Linked DNA regions of Daphnia pulex. The protein of the gene in region 2 binds, or shares a complex with, the protein of the main gene of each other region. Links are inferred from orthologs where the notes say so. Each region holds a gene or a part of one and is shown on either strand. Other genes may lie near its edges.

Evidence for each region. Proteins that work in one complex are often made in the same cells at the same time.
Region 1: transcription initiation factor IIA subunit 1-like (region 2) and DNA-directed RNA polymerases I, II, and III subunit RPABC2-like share a complex: the UniProt entries of both Homo sapiens proteins name them as parts of the TBP-based Pol II pre-initiation complex. The link is inferred for Daphnia pulex from reciprocal best matches to the Homo sapiens genes GTF2A1 and POLR2F.

The regions. Positions count from the first base shown.
Region 1 is NC_060023.1:6,840,974-6,844,341, forward strand, and holds DNA-directed RNA polymerases I, II, and III subunit RPABC2-like, read left to right. Parts: upstream 1-1,628; 5' UTR 1,629-1,786; coding exon 1,787-1,815; intron 1,816-1,890; coding exon 1,891-2,040; intron 2,041-2,102; coding exon 2,103-2,310; 3' UTR 2,311-2,330; coding exon of another isoform or gene 2,331-2,408; 3' UTR 2,409-2,452; downstream 2,453-3,368. Other genes in the region: chymotrypsin BII-like, read left to right, coding at 1-14, 105-270, 330-428, 494-609; LYR motif-containing protein 2-like, read right to left, coding at 2,331-2,408, 2,464-2,561, 2,630-2,669, 2,739-2,786; ATP-dependent RNA helicase DDX18-like, read right to left, coding at 3,099-3,244, 3,319-3,368. UniProt on the Homo sapiens protein: DNA-dependent RNA polymerase catalyzes the transcription of DNA into RNA using the four ribonucleoside triphosphates as substrates.
Region 2 is NC_060018.1:12,589,872-12,594,481, reverse strand, and holds transcription initiation factor IIA subunit 1-like, read right to left. Parts: upstream 2,793-4,610; 5' UTR 2,670-2,792; coding exon 2,646-2,669; intron 2,502-2,645; coding exon 2,312-2,501; intron 2,269-2,311; coding exon 2,170-2,268; intron 2,099-2,169; coding exon 1,898-2,098; intron 1,826-1,897; coding exon 1,704-1,825; intron 1,625-1,703; coding exon 1,355-1,624; intron 1,285-1,354; coding exon 1,177-1,284; 3' UTR 795-1,176; downstream 1-794. Other genes in the region: serine/threonine-protein phosphatase 2A regulatory subunit B'' subunit gamma-like, read left to right, coding at 2,958-3,092, 3,148-3,252, 3,316-3,425, 3,486-3,654, 3,724-3,912, 3,975-4,111, 4,176-4,389, 4,454-4,581. UniProt on the Homo sapiens protein: TFIIA is a component of the transcription machinery of RNA polymerase II and plays an important role in transcriptional activation. TFIIA in a complex with TBP mediates transcriptional activity.

The sequences.
Region 1 (3,368 bases), on a different chromosome or scaffold from region 2:
CCGCTCGCTGTCTTGTAGTGCCAGGGTAAAAATTCCATCATTATCAACGAGGTTCAAGTGAAAATTTCATTCATCTTTTATGAATTAGACAAAAGGTGAGATAGGCCTACATCGACGTCTATCTGGGGGTTCACGATCACACGGCAGAGTCGGAAGGCAACCGGAAATTGTATTCCAATAGCGAAACCTTCATCCATCGTGCCTGGAATCCTGCCACCGATGCAGGAGACATTGCTCTCATCAAACTCAAAAGCGCCGTCAAATATTCACGTATCATTAATTCGTGTTCTTTAATTTAAAATTATAATTAAATTTAAGATTTTGTACAGAGTACATCCGCCCAGTGTGTCTGTCAATTTCCGGTATCGACGAACCTGATTACGTCAACGAAATGGTTACCGTCACGAGATGGGGTACAACTTACGACGGTATTCCGTTCAACATACGACGACGAGAGAATCCAAAATAAAAGTTAAATGTTTCAAAAATTCAGGTAGTCCACGTATAAGCCCAGTGTTACATAAGATGACGGTCCGGCTCATCTCCAATAACGACTGCAGGACAACTTATGGCGACAACATCCAAGGAGGACATTATGTGCACCAGTGATGGCGCCAACAACATGGGAACTTGCATAGTAAGTGAACGCATAATCATCCTAGTGAATTTACTTTTAAAATGTATGCAAATATGGCAGGGCGATAGTGGCGGATCGATGAATTACAAACAGATGGACGGCAGGTGGAAACAGATCGGGATCATATCGTTCGGTTCGACTGAGGGATGCCAAAAGAAAAGGGTCATCCAAACGGTTACAACAGACTGAGCTCTTATTCTTCATTTCAACGTAGATCCGGGATATTATTGAATCAACTTCCGGCACTCATTGAACATCCGCCTTTTTATCGACACCCCTTATGCTCGTTTCAATCGTATTCGTGATTAGCCTTTCGACGGCGTGGTTCTAACGACTCATTTGAATGCCCTCCCAGGGCTCCCACCTACTAATGTACATTACTATATCGTTTATTCATTTAGTTTGTAATAACAAGTCTCAAAACAAGGTGAATCATTAAACGCAACATTTTCTAATCGAATCCAGAATTTGAAAATCTCAGTCATTTTAACAGTCCGGCAGTTGTAATAATTAGATACCAGCGTAAGCATTTACGTGCGAGCATGTACGACGGCGACATAATCAGCACGCAAATTGCTGTAAAACATTACATCTTTTACAAGTTGGAAAAAAACATTTAACTTCACCGGAAATCCCAAGTAGGATCTCTTGCCCTCGTCCTCCTAACGGCCACCGGTTTACTTTCGCCTCTGATGAGATCGACCCTCTGCAACCGTTCGACAACTTAATATCCCAGCTATTTAATACACATTTGGACTGTCCTACACTGTCGACGAAGCAACGATGTGCTGACATTTTCCATTTTAAATTACTGTTTTCTTATACCCTGTTACAAATGGATGCATTTTAGTATTTTACCATGAATCGTCCATTCGAGATCCAACCATAAAGTATCCACAGTCCACACGTATAGTCGTATACTTTATGAATCGACATTTGAATCAAGAAAGGGACGCAAGGCCACCTGGTGAACGAACGCCGAAGTTGACTCGGCCGACAACTCGACAAAGCGGTGGCGGTTGACTAGGGCACCATCGTCTGCACGCTGTAGCAAATGCAAATCTCTTAAATTTGACTGGAAATCTCGTGGTCTTGTTAACTTACTCAGTTTTCACTTTTCACTGTGATTATCTTACCCTTTAAACAATAATGGCAGACGATGACTTTGAGAACGACGAGTAAGTTAATAGTTAGTTGGAGTTTTTCTTCTTTTCTTAATCACATGTACAACATGTTGAATTTCTGTTATTTAGTGGCGACGATTTTGAAGATGCTGAAGACGATGATAACATGGATGAAATGGAACAGCCAGACGATGATGCACAAATTGATCTACTTCAGCAAGGTGAAGGTGGAGCTGGCCAACTGCAAACCAAGCGCATTACAACACCTTACATGACAAAGTATGTAACACTTGAAAGATGCATAGCTCATGAAAGACTATAAACAAGTCTTACATTTTTAGGTATGAAAGGGCACGGGTGTTAGGGACCAGAGCATTACAAATAGCAATGTGTGCACCAGTCATGGTTGAATTGGAAGGCGAAACAGATCCCCTGCAAATTGCAATGAAAGAATTGAAGCAGAAGAAAATTCCTATAATCATTCGCCGCTATCTTCCTGATGGAAGTTATGAAGATTGGGGAATAGACGAACTTGTAATCAATGACTGAGTCCAACATACAATAATACACTAAGATGTCTTTTTAATTGTACTTTGTAATTCTTTCACCATTTGTCTCCCATTGATGAGAAGTCCCTTGATTGTTTCCTTCAAAATAAAATTCTGTGAAATAAATTCCAAATGAAAACAAACTAATTAATACTTCATTAGTGTGAGATCGGTGTGTTTCAAAGTCACTCCTAGCCCACTTGATGATTTCGTCTTTTTGATGCCTATCTACTTTTCTAGCTGTGCGTAGAACTTGATGAACAAAACACTTGTTTAATAGTTATCAGAACTATGTACCCTAATATTAAGTAATCAATTACCTTCTCTGTATAAATTCAAAACCTCTTGCCTAAGCATGAACTGAGAGAGAATAATTTTTTATCAGAAGCTCTGCAATGTGATATGTTAATGCTATAAATATGGAATTACCTGCTTAAGAGTGAGCACTTTTTTAGGAATTCTTGAAATGGTAGACATAGTTATTTGTGGGTAAATTCAGATTACTAAAACCAGTTGAAAGTGTTTTGATTACTGAAGTGATTTATTCTAGGAGTCTATTATCAATATCATCTCACGATCTATTGACAATATTCATTAATGGTTAATTCTACGATACCCTTCAGAAAAATAACTATTTTTATTTCCATCTCAAACAAATGAGCGACGAATTCCGCCCGCCATCTCTTAAGGAAAATTACCATTACAATATTTAGAGAAATAAAGCTTGAACGAAAATATTGGATACGCAAATTTATTGTCTGTGGACAACGTATAAAACAGTCAGAAAAATTATCGAGAAAATTGCCGTTTGTCGCTTGGTTTCTGTCCAACTTGACGATATGTGCTTGCTTTTGTACGGTGCTTAGTTCCTCCATGGGTCTCCCCGAAGTTCCCTTGGCGTTTGCGAGGGCGGTCAGCTTTAGTACTACGCATGTCTACAAAGTAAAATGTATGAGTCAAATTTTGTGAAATCTGAAATGTCAAGGCCAACAGATAAGATTAAACATACTAAGGTCTACTGTCGGTGGAACTTTGAAACCAAAACTTTGGGCCACTCTA
Region 2 (4,610 bases):
GTTACATTTCGGCATGTGTTTTAAGCATGTGCGTGACTGGTTGGCCGTCTTTTGTCGTCACCACTTGAAAAACATGGAACCATCCATCCGGCTAGCTACAGGCAGCAGCAGCAGCCCCCCAACGACTGGGAGCGCTCATTAGGAACGGATGTTGTGACACGCGATTAAAAGCCATCCTGAATATACTGTAAACATTTCACTAGTTCATGTCATATCATTCACATGAAACATGTCCTCCCCTGTGACATCAACCATTTCAAAAAGAAATTTTTGAATTTATTTTCATGATAAGCAGATGGAAGAACGCCCCAGTCCGTCCTTGTTGAAACTTTTCCCCTCGTTTTTTTTTTAGTTTTGATAATGAGTCCAGCAGGTCGAATCCTAAGGTCCTGGCAACAGCAAAGTTCGTTTAGTTTTGTGCTGGTTGCCTTTTAACGGCTCTAGGAAACTTTTTGGCGGACGCCAACAACTCCTACCGCGCTGCTATCGTGTAGAAACTCCATTAACGTGTACCGAATCCAATAGTTGGATGAGCAATTCCCCGGTGATGACTGCAAACGGATGTAAGCTTTTGACCACTTGGTTATTTGCTTTCAAGTCCCCGTACGCTCGCCTGAATGACTTCCCATGTATACAACCTAATCTAGATTTCTTCCGACTAACATTGAAAATGTCCACCACCAACTGTATACGATTACAAGAATTTTTCGGTACCGTAATTAGTAACATTGTCCCCTGGGTCTTGGACTAGTTTTGGGTCACGTTATTAGAATCTTCTCGAAAACTAATTGCAATTCTTGGTAATTTGAACATATATTTTTCTTCTTCTTCTAAATATTCCTGAATCAAAAGGGGGCGACAACAGCTTCTGCAGCGAACAGGGAAAAGATGAGACAAAAAAAGAATTCGGAAAGTTTTGTGTGTTAACAAAAAAAGAGAAACGAAACAAAAGAAGCGAGGGAGGACAAACACGAATGGCTTTTGTTTCTTTGTCCCCAGGTATTTTTTCCTCTCCACCGCTCATCCAACACCCGACATGAAAAAAGAAATTCCGCACATGCACACGCACAGGCACACGAAAAATCCTTAAATTGAAAGCGAAATTCCTCCGGATTGTATTAAATGAAACATTATCTTGATTTTCCCCTAGTAGCGCAATTTCAACCTTGAATATTTTCACCACTCTGCATCACCGTTGGCCTTTTGAAAGACGTAATCGCGACCGTTAATGTTCATGATGCCGTCCTTGAGATGAAACTTCCACCTGTTTCGACTTCTCGTAATCTACAAATAGAAAAAAAAGTCATTTAAAACATTTCAATTCCAATTCGAATGCTAAAATTCAAATCCTTGCCTTGTCGTACTGGCACACGACGACGTTATCAGTTTCAAATAACACTGAGGGATCATCATCAGTCACATCGTCTTCAGAGTTGAGTGGCTCCTCGTCTGCGTTCTCTTCGTTGTCTGCGTCAATCTCCTCGTCGTCATGATCGTCCTCTTCTTCCACGTCGTCATCGTCATCATCTTCAACATCGTCGTCGTCGTCCGAAGAGTCTCCGGGTCCATCCAACTGTGTGACTCCTCCATTGTCAGTTCGCGATTGGCTCCGTGCAGCTGTCGACTACAAAGAAAAGTAATAATGCATTGTACACACATTATTATATACACTTTCGAGTGGATTCAATTTCAACCAATGGTACCTGCAACGCGTTATTAATGTGCTGCTGCAAGACAGTCGTGGCCATTTCAACTGGAAGAGAGAGAGCCGCCGTCACAGCCGGTGAACTCAGGATCGTTTGCAGCTGCGCTCCCGCTGCGCCACCTGTGACATTATTACAAATAGTAAAGAAATTAGATTGGAGCTAGTACGAACGAGATTCAATTGGGAAATAACCTTGAAGAGCATGAGCTGGAACGTGAACAGTGATGCTCTTGGCTGCTGTATGACCTGCTACTCCAGCCTGAGGAGGAACAGTGATTTGGACTGGCACCGTCCTTACTGTTGTCGTAGCAGGGGCTGCAGCTGCTGCTGTTGTTGCTGCACCTGTAGCTGCATTAGGGGTAGTCACTGGGGTTTGGGCTGCTGCTGCTGCTTTAGAGAAAATAAAAACAAACAAACAAAACAATTAATAATAATGCACTCAATGTAACAGTATACCCAACTACCTGGTTGCTTTGCCGTAGTGGCTGCCTGTTGAGGTGTAGAATTGTTCGCAGGAGCTGTAGAGCTAGCCTGCTGACCTGCTTTTGACGGCAAAGAAGACCCTTTTTTCATACATGATAAAGTCTCATAATCGATATTGGATACTTTGTTGCAGTTTGCTTTGGAGAGAAGTTTCAGCAGGATCGGTCACAGGGTCGATTGCTTTGCTGGACTGCAATTTGTTTTCCCAATTCTGCTTCAATTCGAGAAGTACAGCCTCATCGATTCCTTCGTCAAGAAACGCCTCTCGAACCCCGTTGATAACATCTTCAATAACGCCACGATACAGTTTCGACTACAAAAAAAGAAATATAAAAGTCCTTAATTAGACCAACGAGGAGTGAGATCGAGCTCGTGGAGTGGAATCGTCAATGCAACAACAGTTTCCAGGTACTATTCCCCATGAAATATTATCATAAAGTAAAAGGTAAATAAATACCACGAGTGCCTGATTGGCGGCCATTCTTTAACGAAATTGAATTTTATTTGATTTCAATTCCGGGAGGGCTTCGTTCAACAGGAAGCCGACATGAAAACTAAGACTGACGCGGCAATATATATCGAAATGCCCCCGATGGCAGCGCCACGAAGCGTGATTTTGGCTAAGCATAGCATCTAGCGGTCGAAAAAAACATTCTTTCTGCTAAAAGTAAAGCCGTTTGTTATCGTTTCGACACGTTTGAATCGAATGAACAAGAAACGTTTTTATTAGCGGCCTAAGTCTCAGTATTCGTTGATTTTCATCAACGAGATGGATGAAAAATCCGAGATTTTGGTTTTAAACGCCGAAGATGAAGATACCTTCCAAAAGTTGTATTCCGAAGGTCTCAAATATAGCAAGCAATGCTCGGAAGAAAGCATGCCAGTTCCAAAGTTCTATACCAAAGTAAGCATAACTTCCAATTGATTCCCTATAAATTTCTTATGTTTTTGTTACACAGCTTCCTAATCATGAAAACATGATTAGCCTTAAACTGAGAGAAGAAGCTAGAACAGCATTCCTTCAGAAGAAGAGCAAAGAACTCCTCGATAACAATGAACTGCAGGTTTGTTAATGTCATTGCCAGTGTTTGTGCTACTGGTAAATAAGATTTTCATCCTGTCTTTAGAATCTCTGGACTTTACTTGACAAAAATCACAGCCCTCCTGCTGGTTCTGAGCAGATGATCAATTATATTGATTTTCTCAAAGTAGGCAACATAGCTGGTCCAAAATATAAGTAAGACATGTAAATATTTGATTGGGAACACCAAGTTATTTTTTGAATTCCCCTATACAGAGCATTCTTTACACCAGATGTATTTGCAAGGCTATTGCAGAATGATATTCATGGCAGAATATCAACCATGGCAGTGTTCAATTACATCATGAGGAAAGTTTGGTTACAGCAAACTAGAATTGGTCTTTCATTATATGATGCCACAGGACAAGGTCTGCTTACTGAAATGGTGAACATCAGCAATATGTTTTTTGTTTTTGCAATATGTAATTTACTTATCTATTTTTGTTTTTCCCAGGATTTAGAGAACTACATAACTGAACTTATCCCAACATTGCCACAGTTAGAAGGGCTTGAAAAGTCATTCCATTCGTTTTACGTCTGTACCGCCGTACGCAAGTTCCTCTTTTTCCTAGATCCATTAAAGCTAGGCAAAGTCAGGATACAGGATATTCTCGCTTCTGGTTTTCTGGACGAACTTTTAGAGGTATTTAGTATATTCCTGATTCTTTTGTCATTCTTCTCGCTAAAAATATTATAATTCATCAGCTACGGGATGAAGAGCTGCCCAAAGATGCACAGGATTCAAACTGGTTTTCTGCGCCCTCCGCTCTGAGAGTCTACGGTCAATACTTAAATTTAGATACCAACAGAAACGGCATGCTTTGTCAGGAAGAGCTCAGACGGTAATTTACCATATTTCAATTTGCAGTACGTACATTTAAGATTTTTTTTAAATTTAATTTTCAGATTCGGAACTGGCACGTTGACGCGAGTTTTCATTCAACGAGTATTCGAGGAGTGCATGACCTATGAGAAAGAAATGGATTATAAAACGTACTTGGATTTCGTATTGGCCATGGACAATAAAAAGGAACCACAAGCACTTCAGTATTTTTTCCGTTTGTTGGACGTCAATCATCGAAACCATCTCAACACTTTTGACCTCCATTTTTACTTCAAAGTATTAATTTCCTCATTTGACCTTTTGACTTTCTTATCTTGAAAAAAAAAAAAATGCTTTGCAGGGGGTTCAAGAGTTGATGCAGCAGCACAAACAAGAAGTCGTTGCTTTTGACGACGTCAATGATGAGATTTTCGATATGGTGCGTCCTGCCGATCCGTCAAAAATCACTTTACATGATTTGATTAACTGGTAACACACAAAGTTCATTTAGAATTTTT